3 linked regions of the Arabidopsis thaliana genome follow. The protein of the gene in region 2 interacts with the protein of the main gene of each other region in a pairwise test. Each region holds a gene or a part of one and is shown on either strand. Other genes may lie near its edges.

Evidence for each region. Proteins that work in one complex are often made in the same cells at the same time.
Region 1: the proteins of AT4G00270 (region 2) and SWI3B interact in binary tests that used the Arabidopsis thaliana proteins (3 or more experiments, as listed by UniProt).
Region 3: the proteins of AT4G00270 (region 2) and AT5G60142 interact in binary tests that used the Arabidopsis thaliana proteins (3 or more experiments, as listed by UniProt).

The regions. Positions count from the first base shown.
Region 1 is NC_003071.7:14,227,388-14,231,959, forward strand, and holds SWI3B (switch subunit 3), read left to right. Parts: upstream 1-1,584; 5' UTR 1,585-1,635; coding exon 1,636-1,798; intron 1,799-1,892; coding exon 1,893-2,302; intron 2,303-2,388; coding exon 2,389-2,799; intron 2,800-3,153; coding exon 3,154-3,280; intron 3,281-3,368; coding exon 3,369-3,499; intron 3,500-3,594; coding exon 3,595-3,762; 3' UTR 3,763-4,021; downstream 4,022-4,572. Other genes in the region: CRL2 (NAD(P)-binding Rossmann-fold superfamily protein), read left to right, coding at 1-19, 93-278, 353-518, 614-803, 979-1,111. UniProt on the Arabidopsis thaliana protein: Component of a multiprotein complex equivalent of the SWI/SNF complex, an ATP-dependent chromatin-remodeling complex, which is required for the positive and negative regulation of gene expression of a large number of genes.
Region 2 is NC_003075.7:116,580-120,439, reverse strand, and holds AT4G00270 (DNA-binding storekeeper protein-related transcriptional regulator), read left to right. Parts: upstream 1-1,796; 5' UTR 1,797-1,971; coding exon 1,972-2,205; intron 2,206-2,288; coding exon 2,289-2,963; 3' UTR 2,964-3,355; downstream 3,356-3,860. Other genes in the region: MEE45 (Transcriptional factor B3 family protein), read right to left, coding at 3,389-3,688, 3,733-3,860. UniProt on the Arabidopsis thaliana protein: DNA-binding protein, which specifically recognizes the GL1 enhancer sequence. May be involved in leaf initiation. May play redundant roles with GPL1 and GPL2 in cytokinin responses by regulating the transcript levels of type-A ARR response genes.
Region 3 is NC_003076.8:24,215,396-24,219,642, reverse strand, and holds AT5G60142 (AP2/B3-like transcriptional factor family protein), read left to right. Parts: upstream 1-1,893; 5' UTR 1,894-2,051; coding exon 2,052-2,064; intron 2,065-2,178; coding exon 2,179-2,249; intron 2,250-2,290; exon of another isoform or gene 2,291-2,329; coding exon 2,330-2,948; coding exon of another isoform or gene 2,949-2,974; exon of another isoform or gene 2,975-3,034; coding exon 3,035-3,126; intron 3,127-3,217; coding exon 3,218-3,463; 3' UTR 3,464-3,696; downstream 3,697-4,247. Other genes in the region: AT5G60150 (uncharacterized protein), read right to left, coding at 62-225, 329-411, 532-785, 883-1,080, 1,258-1,432.

The DNA.
Region 1 (4,572 bases), on a different chromosome or scaffold from region 2:
TTCAGTCCCTAATCCTGAGGTGAGGATTTCATTTTTACAATCTCATTGGTGGCTATATGCATTGTCTCACTATGGTTTCACTGGTTTTGCAGGTAGATTTGATCGCACCTGCAGTGGATGGTACGCTGAATGTGCTTAAGGCATGCGTTGAAGCAAAAGTTAAGCGTGTTGTGTATGTTTCCTCTGTATCTGCAGTTGCTATGAACCCTATGTGGTCAAAGAGTCAAGTGTTAGATGAGACCGCTTGGTCTGACCAAGATTATTGCAAAAAAACTGAGGTTAATAATGCATCTTGAATCCCTCATCTCACTTTTTTTTCTTCTTTTAAATCTGACTTTCGTCCCTCTGGCAGAATTGGTATTCTTTGTCAAAGACACGAGCAGAAAGTGAAGCTTTCGAATTTGCAAAACGAACCGGACTTGATCTCGTCAGTGTTTGCCCTACCCTTGTCTTGGGACCTGTATTGCAGCAGCACACAGTAAATGCTAGTAGCCTTGTTCTTCTCAAGCTTCTTAAAGGTATTATAAACAAGCCTCTCATTTCATCTGGGATTGTTAGAAGCAGCAACTTGGTATATGAGTTGGTATTGATTTTATACTTAAGTGTGGTGCAGAGGGTTATGAATCGCGTAATAACCAAGAACGGCATTTGGTAGATGTGCGTGATGTGGCTCAAGCTTTACTTTTGGTTTATGAGAAAGCAGAAGCTGAAGGAAGGTACATCTGCATAGGCCACACGGTTAGGGAACAAGAAGTCGCTGAGAAGCTGAAAAGTCTTTATCTAAATTACAACTACCCAAAGAGGTAAGCAAACAACAGCTGCACATCTCTCTACCCAATTTGAGTGAAAACCTTTAAACCTTAATAAGCTGTTTTTGTTACTTTCATCAGTAAACAGTGTCACTTACCTTTACATCAATGTCTCTGAAGTTTCTTTTAGACCTTACCTTTGATCTAAATTCTACTTATCCAATATCAGATACATCGAAGCGGATGGAAAAGTGAAGGTGAGTTCAGAGAAGTTGCAGAAGTTGGGTTGGACTTACCGGCCGTTGGAGGAAACACTTGTGGATTCTGTTGAGAGCTACCGCAAAGCTAAGCTTGTGGACTGAAAACTGGGAACGAATAGCATATGAGTGTTTTGGGTCCATGTGTTAAGTGTTCCTATCTGCACACGCTCTTTCATCTTTTACTCAAGAATAAGAGTTGTGCAACATATTTTCCATCATGAACTTCTGAGTTTTTGTTACTTTCTTAGACACCATTACTTTTATGACCAATCTACAATTACTCCTTCCATAACTATGTTCCAATATCTCTTTGATACGTTCCAATTTCTACCTACTTACAAAGGATAACTTCACCATTAATACATGAAATCAGTAACGCACAACTTCACCATTCGAATTAACCTCTAAGCCTAGCGTAGCAGATGCACTACATCTTGGCTGACCATGGGACTAAAAAAACATTCGCAATATTTAACAACTAAAGCCAGGTTAATGGACCTGTATTAGGGCCCAAACCAGGCCCGTTTAGATATCCGACTTTTTTTTTAACTTTGCCCATCTCGATAGCTAGATTCTCTTTTCCCTCTTCCTTCTCCGGCGAAGTTGCGTTAGTTAAACAGAGAGTCATGGCCATGAAAGCTCCCGATCCCGGCGGATCTGGGGAAATTCTCCCGAGCACTCCCTCTCTTTCCGAAACTACGTCTGGAGGCGCCGCAGCAGCTTCTAAGTCGGCTCAATTGCCGTCTTCTTCTTCCGATATCGATAATATTCACGTACCTAGCTACTCCAGTAAGTCTGCAACGCCGAGAAAACTTTGATTTATTCTACTTTCTTCACTGTTTCTTACGGATTTTGTACTTGTACCGTCTATTTAACCAATTAGGTTGGTTTTCATGGACCGACATTAACGATTGCGAGGTCCGGTCACTGCCGGAATTTTTCGATTCGAGATCTTCATCCAAAAACCCTAAGTTTTATCTCTACTTGAGGAACTCGATTATTAAGCAGTACAGAGACGACCATCCTCGGAAGATTAGTTTCACTGACGTTCGGAGAACTCTCGTCAGTGATGTTGTCTCTATTCGTCGCGTCTTTGATTTCCTCGATTCATGGGGACTTATCAACTATAATAGCTCCGCCTCTGCTAAGCCGCTCAAGTGGGAAGAAAAAGAGGCCGGAAAATCCGCCGGAGATGCTGCTTCTGAGCCAGCCACAACTGTCAAAGAAACTGCCAAGAGAAACTGCAATGGCTGCAAAGCAATTTGCAGCATAGCTTGTTTCGCCTGTGATAAGGTTTGATTTCATAATTTGTAGCCATAGTAATAATTTCATTCACTGAGTTTGTCACTTAGAATGATTATGTACATTTTTGTTTTCAGTATGACTTGACATTGTGTGCGAGGTGCTATGTTCGTAGTAATTATCGTGTTGGTATTAACTCCTCGGAGTTTAAACGAGTTGAGATTAGTGAGGAGTCAAAGCCAGAGTGGTCTGATAAGGAAATTCTGCTGCTGCTGGAAGCTGTTATGCACTATGGAGATGATTGGAAGAAGGTTGCATCGCATGTTATTGGTAGAACGGAGAAGGATTGTGTTTCTCAGTTTGTCAAGCTTCCGTTTGGGGAACAGTTTGTAAAAGAGTCTGACTCTGAGGATGGTTTAGAGATGTTTGATCAGATCAAGGACTCTGATATTCCTGAATCTGAAGGAATAGATAAAGACGGTTCTTCTCCCAACAAGCGGATCAAATTAACACCTCTTGCAGATGCAAGCAACCCAATAATGGCTCAGGTTAGAAAGACACTACAATTTGAGTAGTTGCGTTCTCTCTCTATGTTAATCTTATTTGTATAAGTCTTCAACATGCGTGGAAATGCTTTTACATTGTTAGGCTACTGAAGAATAGTCCAGTGTCTGCACTAGGCTGTTCCACGACTTGCGTTTTTGTCTCCTTAAAGAACCTAAATCTAGAATACCTTGTGGGGCTTACTTTGAAATCTAGTAATAACAAACCCTAGTTGACATATATAAGGCATTTAAGAATCAAATATGTGTTAGATAATTCTGTACTGTGTTATCACACCTCAATTGTTATGCTTCATTGGCTGTCTCTGAATAAGATTTATCCTATCATGTCCTCTTCAGGCTGCTTTTCTTTCAGCTTTGGCTGGCACAAATGTTGCAGAAGCAGCAGCTCGAGCGGCAGTGAGAGCTTTATCTGATGTAGACTACGAGGCTGACAAAAACGCCAGTAGAGACCCAAATCGACAAGGTATCAAAGACCAAGCTGTCTCTATTTGCAGTCCATTTCTGTCCTAAGCCAAACCCAATAGTGACAGTTTTGTTTTCCTGATACACAGATGCCAATGCTGCATCGAGTGGTGAAACCACTAGAAACGAATCTGAAAGAGCTTGGGCAGATGCAAAGTCTTTAATTGAGAAGGAAGAGCATGAGGTAGAAGGAGCAATCAAAGAGACTGTTGAAGTTGAGGTTAGTAACAATCTGCAACTTTCCATAGACTTTTTATTATATGGTTATACTCAATGATGATTTATGTTGGAACAAACAAAATTTGGGATTAACAGATGAAGAAGATCCGAGATAGGATTGTTCATTTCGAGAAATTGGATTTGGAAATGGAGAGAAGCCGGAAACAATTGGAGGAGGTGAGGAATCTGCTTTTCGTTGATCAATTAAACATTTTCTTCCACACCAGAAAAGCCCGGAAAACTGAAGATAGAATAGAGTGTTAGAACGCACTTAATTTGAAACTGTTATTTCTTATTTGATTCTTGTCTGGTTAAGAAGATGACTTGTATTGTAGTGTACTTGAGATGTGTTGGTAACAAAATGAGATGAGATCGAATTGGTATAAATAAGGCTGGGTTGGTATAAAAGTCAAAACCAAATGGCAACTGCGTCGAAGTATAATTTTTGTCTTTATCAGGCAATCACAAGTGGAAAAGTTTTAAAAATTAATTTTGCTCTTTTGGAAACAATAGAAAATGTCAGGGTTTTGGAGATATCCGATATAAAAGATAGATTTTGTTTTCACTAAATAGGTTAATCTTCAAATGTTGTTAAGTTACCGATGTTTTTTTTGTATCTCCGTAACATGATTACTCTCTTTGTTGCTAAAAGAGTGATGGTTTTTATATTAAGAAACAGTCATTAATTAATCATTTCTGTATTGTTTGTTATATTAAACATTTTCAATAACTATAAACCAATAGCAGTCTAACAAATTTCAATCATTTTATCTTGAACTTTACTAGTTCAGGTTTTTCAGACAAACTAAAAAAACATTGAATTTTCTGTTTTATCTCTAATTAATGTGTTATTTAATATCATATCATCAATTAATCAGCCAAAACAATAAGAATTTCTTTTGGAAAATCTTTCAAAAACATGCATTGAAAATATAAAACGATAACTAATTTAATACAAAATTTAATTTCTAAAACATAACTAATTTAGAAAGGAGTGAGTGATATTTAAAAAAAATAAAGAAAAAACGAAAATGTTTTTTTTGTGGGACAAGTTAAAAGTGGTAGAACATCAAT
Region 2 (3,860 bases):
AAAAATGAAAATACATGAATAATATTTTGGTAATAGGAGTACTTCATGCACAAGTCAACTGTTGTTTAAATAACATAAATCTTAGTTATAAATATTAAATAAAAAATAAAATACATAAATGGTGTCTTGGTAACAGGAACACTACATAAACATGTCAACTGATTTTAAATAACAAAATCTTAAAATAAATATTAAAATAAAAATGATAATACATGAATAGTGTCTTGGTAATAGGAGGAATACATAGAAAGATACACTGATTTTAAATAATAAAATATGAAATAAAAATACATAAATGATGTATTGGTAACATAAGCACTACATGCACATGTCAACTGATTTTAAATAACAAAAATGTTATGTTAAAACAAAAATAAAAATACATGAATGATGTCTTGGTAAGAGAAGGACTGCATGCATAGATCAACTGTTTTTAAATAACAGAAATCTTAACTCTAAATATTAAAACAAAAAGGAAAATACAGAAATAATGTCTTGATAATAGGAGCACTATATGCAAAGGTAAACATGTATTTTTTCTGCTTCCCTCCCATTCAAAGCCTTAATCAATGAAGTTTTGGCTAAAAGAATGATCTTTGACCGATGGAGTATTGTGTCGCTTGATGTGATCTTTTTACATTAGAATTGTGGTCATTTGTCTCAGGGAAAAGAGGAGCTATACAATATAACAAGAGGTCCTTCTTGAGGTGGTGAAGATCATAAAGAAGCACGGTTACGTTCCTTTTGTAATATTCCTTGGATCTCGAAATCGAGTACAAGTTCCTATCATGCTAATGGCGGAGATGGATGAAGGCATTTTACATTGTAATCTGTTCATTTAATTTGGATTGCTTTCATTGTTTCATTTGTTTGACATACATAGACACTAATAGTTGAGGATTATGTATTTACAACAATAAAGTGTTCCACTACACAAGGTACAATCGATATATATATAGTGTTAACTCTCATTTGTGTATATATGCATATCAGTTTGTAGGTGTTACTATGATAGTAGTACATTTATTAATTTATAAAAATTTATACGTAAAATACAATATTAATTTTTTAAAAAGAAAAATTTTAATTTAGTTTTTCTTTATGTTTTATTGTTTGTATATTCTGTTAGATTTTTTTTTATTACTTTTTTTATTTTTTCTCTGTAAGATATTGTGCATGTATACGACGTTAACGTGAGACTTAATCCAATTTTTTATTACACAAATCTTAACAATGATTTTTCATATAAAAAAAGTTACAAAACCAAATATGACGGATCAAATACGCAAAGAGTTATGTGAATACAAAAGAGATCACACCAACTATACTCTAGAAAGAGTTGCAATTATGACTTGAACAAAAGTTTCATATAAAATTAGTCTTTGAATGTATGCTAAAGATTTATGATTATTAATTTTATGATATTACTGGTACCATATTTTTACATAGGGATTTCAAAAAAAATATTATCTTATTATCTTATCGATTTTGGTTAATTTTTACATTACCCCGATTTGAGACCGACAAAATTTATTAATTTATCGTGTAATATGTTTTGTTCAAATACCTTTTAATATCTATTTAATAATAAAAAAATATTCAATCAGAAATGGATAATATATAATATAATTATTTACTTAAAATATATCAGCAATGAATCTTAAAATGTAGAAAAAACTAAATTTTAATTTATTATATAAAAAAGGTAGATAAAATATTTTATACTATTAAGTGACTAAAATGATAGATTTTTGCAAGAGCAAAATTGTACTATTGATGAATATTAAACAGTAGAAAAAAAGATGAAAGTGTTTGTTTTGTTATGAATGTTGAGAAAAGTATGGCCAAGTGTTACTCATCCTATTTTGCTTTTCTTTTTCTCTCGGGTTTCACTTTTTAAAGGTCGTGAAGATTGGGAATCACTGCTCTGCATGCGCCCTAGAATCAGCAAGTCTAAAGCAAGCAATAAGCATGGTGACTCCGAAGCAGATCGATTTCTCTTCCTGTGTTGGTGCTGATAACTCCAACGGTACCCTCTCCCATCGAAGATCTCCACGGAATATTCCTTCCTCAAAGCGTGCTGCTTCCGTCGCAGAAGAAGAGACTATGAAGAAGAAGATGAAGATGAAGAAGAAGAAGAAGAAATTGGATCCGCCGTTGATCGTCCGGATCTGGAACGAGGAAGATGAGCTCTCTATCTTAAAGGTATTGTATTGATCTTCTCCATTTATAGTTTGATTTGGTTTTGCATTGTGATTTTCTAAAACCAGATTTTCGAAATTGCTCAGGGGTTAGTTGATTACAGAGCTAAGACAGGATTCAATCCCAAAATTGATTGGGATGCGTTTTGTAGTTTCCTCGGAAGTTCTATCGTTGAGAGATTCTCCAAGGATCAGGTTTTGAGTAAAATCAGGAAGTTGAAAAGGAGGTTTCATGTTCACTCGGAGAAAATCAATCAAGGGAATGATCCCAAATTTACTAGGTCTAGTGATTCTGAAGCCTTTGGGTTTTCTTCGATGATTTGGGGACAAGGTGATGATGATGGTATGGATAAGGAGCACGAGGTAAACGGAAATGGTGCAGCGGAAAACCGGACTAACGAGAGCGGGGAGGAGATGTTGAAGGAGCACGAGGAGGAAGTGGCTAATACTGAACTTTTAAATGAGAATGGGGCAGCCAAAACAACAGAGAATGGGACTAGTAGTGGAAAAGAGAGACATGATGAGGACAATGATGATGATGATGAGTTATGCGCGGTGCAGGATGCATTTGAGGCGGTGATGTCGCAAGGTTTAAGTGGTTATCAAAAGAAGTTGCAGCTTGAGAAGCTGATGAACCTTGGAAATGGTAAAAGAAGAGAGTTGAGTGATGAATGGAAAGCGTTATGTGTTGAGGAAACAAGATTCAATATCAAGAAGCTTAGATTTTCCGCCAAGCTTGCAGAGGCAGCTAATGATAGTTAGATGAAACCAATATGCCCTTGTAGCATTTGGTGTTGTTTAGGTTCTTAGTAAGTCATAAGCTCTAGTCTGTTCAGTGTATTTATCTTTGGATCCTGTCTTTCTTCTACTTGGGCAAGTGTTTGTAAGATATTCCACTTTTTACTCAAGTATCCACAAGAGCCAATGTAGTAGAGTGGCTTGTGCAAGAGTCTAGAGTCTAGGGTTAATAATGTGCTTTAAGGCATGCTTGTGTGTGTGCCTAAGAGTGTAGTGAAGTAGTATAAGTAAGAGTGTGTGTGTGTCTTGTAATATTATCCAAGATATTAACAATGTAGAAGATTAAAAGAAAAATGGTTTTTGTTCTTACTCTCTAAGACAATGAAACCTTAAGAGTTATATCTTACCAAATAAAAGAGTCAAACATTGATTCATTTCAATATAGAGTTTCATTTGATTTCTAGCTTCACCTTGGAGCAGAACTTAAGGACGCAACTTGTTTCTTCTTCCCAAATCAGTTCCAACATGATGGATTCGTTTGCCTTCACATCGTTAGCTTGGATGAATCCTTGCCATCCTCCTACCATTCGTAGTCTTTTTCTTTTGTCGTCCTCGAACCGCAGAGTCGTTAACCACTTCACACCATGTTTATCCAACAGAGTCATTTTAGTTTCTTCATTGATACCATTCATCCTCGTGAAAGGAACCGGAAGACGCTGAAACATAGATTCACACAAAAGATTCTCATTCTATAGACTGTTAAAAGACAATGGCTTGGAATGATGAAACGTACCAGTAGAGAACTTTGGATTGTATAAGGTGTTAGAGTTAATGTCACAAATCGGTTTTCGGATAGTAAAGACTTTCTTCTTGAGATTTTCTCGTCGTGGATACTCTCTTCATCGCTTTCTTGCTCTGTCG
Region 3 (4,247 bases), on a different chromosome or scaffold from region 2:
TAACAGAACTAAAAAGGATATGAGATGAATAGTTTTTATTTGCTAACTGAAGTGAACATACTTAATTGAGTAGGTTGACTGTTTTTCGCTTTGATTGGACTTTGAGTAGTCCTTTTCATGTTGTTTCCAACTGTAACTGGGTCAGATTTGGTAGTAGGAACTTTAGATATGCTCAGCTCCCTGCAACGTGATGTTGTTGTATGCACATTTGCAGGTCTTTTCAGGGTGCAAGATGGTTAAGGTAAACAAGCAAAAAGAACACAAACAAGACCTGCAAAGGATATCAAGATTGCCTATACACTCAGTACTCAAAGTAAGAAAAGGATATGAAGATGAAGGAGGAGGCCGGGGACAGCCACTGCGCTTGGAACCACTCCTTAAATCCTGAGCTGAGATAACTTTTTTCTGGGCCTATAATGCAGATATTCGACATTTAGATAGACTGCGCCTCAAAATATATATATTTACGCAAGGAAAGAAACGACTTATGACCCTCATTAGCTCCACAATATTTAGGTCCAGTAAACTCACCGAGGAAGATTGGGATTTAGATGGTGATCCGTACTTGGGCATTATGCCACTGACAAGCTTCTTCTCTCTGTTTTTACTATTCACAGGCAAGTCGTTAAATAAGTTTTCTTCAAGTGCTTGTAGTCCTGGTGAAACATTACATTTGGAAGCTGACATTGACTCTCTGTACTCTTCCTGAATGGCAGCTAACCGATCTCCACCAAGATGGCAAGCAGTTCCAGTTATTTTAGATAACTCAGATGAATCCAAAACACCTGGTTCATGACCATATCACACATCTTAAGATTCTTAGTAACATAGACCAAATCTTTGACCTTTACTACTAACAGGAAATTGGTAAAAAAAAGTCACCTTCTTCCGTTGAAAAAGCTCTATCCCATGCTAAACTCTTGCGCAAATTAAACCCTGCATTCTTTTTCTTCTTCTTCATCTGTTGTCGCTCCACACTCAATTTGGGCAATTCAACTTTAGCATTCTCCTTTCCTACACTATCTGTATCAACTGAAGCGCATGGCTGCTCCCTGTTGTTGCTGGTGCCTGTTACTCTTCCTGCAAAAAGTATTAACCTTCATATATCCGCAGAATACACAACATTTATACTAATTTGCTATTTTATCAAATTAAGATTTAAACAATGCTAATTCAGATGCTTAAACACTCTAACAAAGGGAGAGAGAAATTATCAGAACGAAGCTCGGATCGAGAACGAGAAATTGAAGCGCTTACCAATTGGGGAAAAAGGAGGCCGAGTAGGAACGATACGACTAGATCTAGGGATTTGGAGAGGTGAGCATTTCAAATAACTCTTTCCTCGGCTCGAATTAGTTTTCTTCGGCGTATTCTTCAGAAGCCAATTATCTTCGTCGTCTTCTCCAGAGATATCTAAGAGATCCTTATCCATTTCTAGCTTCTCTTTCGAGCCCAAGATCTGACGATTAGGAAATCCGGAATCCTATAGCTAGGTTTTTTCAAACTTACACTGAGAAAATCTCTTCGGAAGTTGTAGGCGAAAATCCTAGTCGGTAAATCGGAAATTGTTCGGCCGATGGAAGAGACGACTGTTGATAGAATATCCCGGCCTCGTAAGCGGGAAGAGGTTGAAAAACTTGAAATTGAAAGAAGATCGGACCAACGTTCTCTATAATCTCAGGTTATTATTGTCATTTAAAGCAAATCGATTGGGCCGGACTTTAAAGCCCATTTATTTGAATTTTAAATTCTCGTTCACCCTTTATTGGTTTGGTTTGGTTAGGATAATATTTTTTCGGTTTGATTAAAATCATATCGGTTCGGTTCATGGAGCATTGAAGTAAAAGTAGTTAGCACATGTTTTATTTTTCCATTTGTAGCAATAAGCCTAGAAGACAATACAGTCTCTGTGTTATGCTACAAAAGGCAAAATCTCTAAAGCAAACCAAAAGATCGGAGATCTATTAACAAAGCTCTTTTACTTTTCTATTTTCAAGAACCATTTTCACCTTCACTTTCACTAAAAGAGTTAGGGTTTCAAAGAGGTGAAGATGATGAACAGAGGTTTCTTCTTTAGACTCTTGTTTTTATGTTAAGATCTTTATGCTATTGTTTGTTCTTGATTCTCCAATCACATAACCTATCCTATGTTCTGATTTTTTTCTTGCTTTGGAACAGGAATTTCTGTGGATGATTGTCTTCCAAAGTTCTTCAAAGTGTACTTACCTGATGATTCCGGAGATGATTTGGTAAAAATACACTTCTCTCTCTGTTTTTGGTTATATGTAGATTTTTAGTTTATTGAAACTTTTAGATCCTTCCTCTTCAGGAATTACCCATCTCTTTCAACAGCTTTTTACCAAAGTCGTTGCCTAAAAATGTAATTGTTAGAAGCATTTATGGAAACATCTGGAAAGTGGCGTTTAGGAAGTTTTGTGGTGATAGTGAGAGATTTGTTATGGTTAATGGGTGGAAGAAGATAGTCAAGGACGAAGATTTGAAAGGTGGAGAGTTCTTAGAATTTGAGTTTGATGGCTCTTGGTGTTTCAATTTCTGTATCTATGGTCGTGCAACGTGTAAAAGGCTTAGAAGTTCAGTGCAAATCACGGTTCTTGATGACAATGATGATGGTTTTAATGATGATCAAGATTATGGGGAAGAAGTTAAATCTAGTGAAAATTTCATAGTTCTTGATGATGATGATATTAGTGATGTTCAAGATTATAATGAGGAAGATACATCTAGTGAAGATATTACAGCTCTTGATGATGCTGATAATGATGATATTAATGATGTTCAAGATTATGTTGAGGAAGATACATCTAGTGAAGATATCATAGTTATTGATGATGATGATGATGATGATGATCAAGATTATGGTGACGATGATCATGCTGATGTTGAGAAAGAAAGATGGAGAGGAGTCAAAACAGAGAAAAAAAAGAAAGGTATAATAGAAACTTTTGTCTTGTGAAGTTAACTGAGACTGAGAGCATCACTGTCTTTTTATTTTCTTGCGTATAAATTTTGATAGGTTCTTCTGGAGAGCATGACAGACAATATCTGGATAATCACATGAACCCTTTCTTTACAGTGAACCAGCATCGGCAAATAAAATATAATATGGTAAGAAATGTGAAGAAAGTCTCATGTCTTTTTGCATTTTCATTAAAATAATGTACCACTTCTGTTTTATGATGTTATCTTTGTAATGCAGCTGCGCATACCAACTAAGGTCATAACGAAGTATGGCTTACACTTCCCTGAGTTCATCAATTTGATTGATCCACTCGAGAAAAACTTTGGTAAATTGAAGAGGAAAGTTAAGGGTCAAACAATCAAGGGATTCCGTAGTATAATCAGAAGGAATAATGTGAAGTTGAATGACAAGGTGATTTGTGAGTTAGAAAAGGAGATGGATGGTCTTGTTCGAGAAATCAAGGTCCATGTTATAAGAGGATGATCTCTTGATAAGGCTTTATGCGTTAACTCCAAGACATTATCTATTTTTACTTGAGAGTTTTTATATGAGTAGAGTACTTGGTTTTATGAATCTTATTGGTTTTCTCGGAACATAATCGATGTTGATGCTTTCTATACACTTCTTGATTTTGTTTGTTTGTCTGAAACATGAAGTGCAAAAGACGATCAACACAGTCTTACAATAATAATGTATACTAGAGCTATAGATTTTGGGAGAAATCATTATGAATGGTTCACACATCAGGGCTGTTTAAAACCTGCGAGTTCATGTAAAAAGAATGTTATTACTCTCTATGTGATCATAAGAAAAGCATTGGCATAGGAGGAGAATAATACTAAGATACTTGGAACTCTGCCACTTAACACTATCTCATTCTTCTTTCAAGTTTCAAGTTTCTTGTTCAAGAATTGAGATGTCACAAGTCCTTCTTTCTCTAATATACCCTTCTCGACTCTTTACTGTGGTTCTTTTGTTTAAGGACGATAATGTCATTTACACGATATAGATTGAACCAAACTTAAGGCCCATTTCTTGTTTTTTGTTTGGGCCTTAGCGATACCTTGGTCCGCTTAACGAATTATTTTTGAATAAGAAGAGTACTATTAATGGTTTGTTTTCCATTTGAAGGAAAAAGCATCGAAACAGAGAGAACCCTCTGTTTTTGCAAGTTTTTGCTACAAAAGGCCAACACCTTTAGATCAAATCACATCTGGAAAAACTTGGATCTGGAGAAACTTTGTTCACCTTTTTATTTCCGATCAAA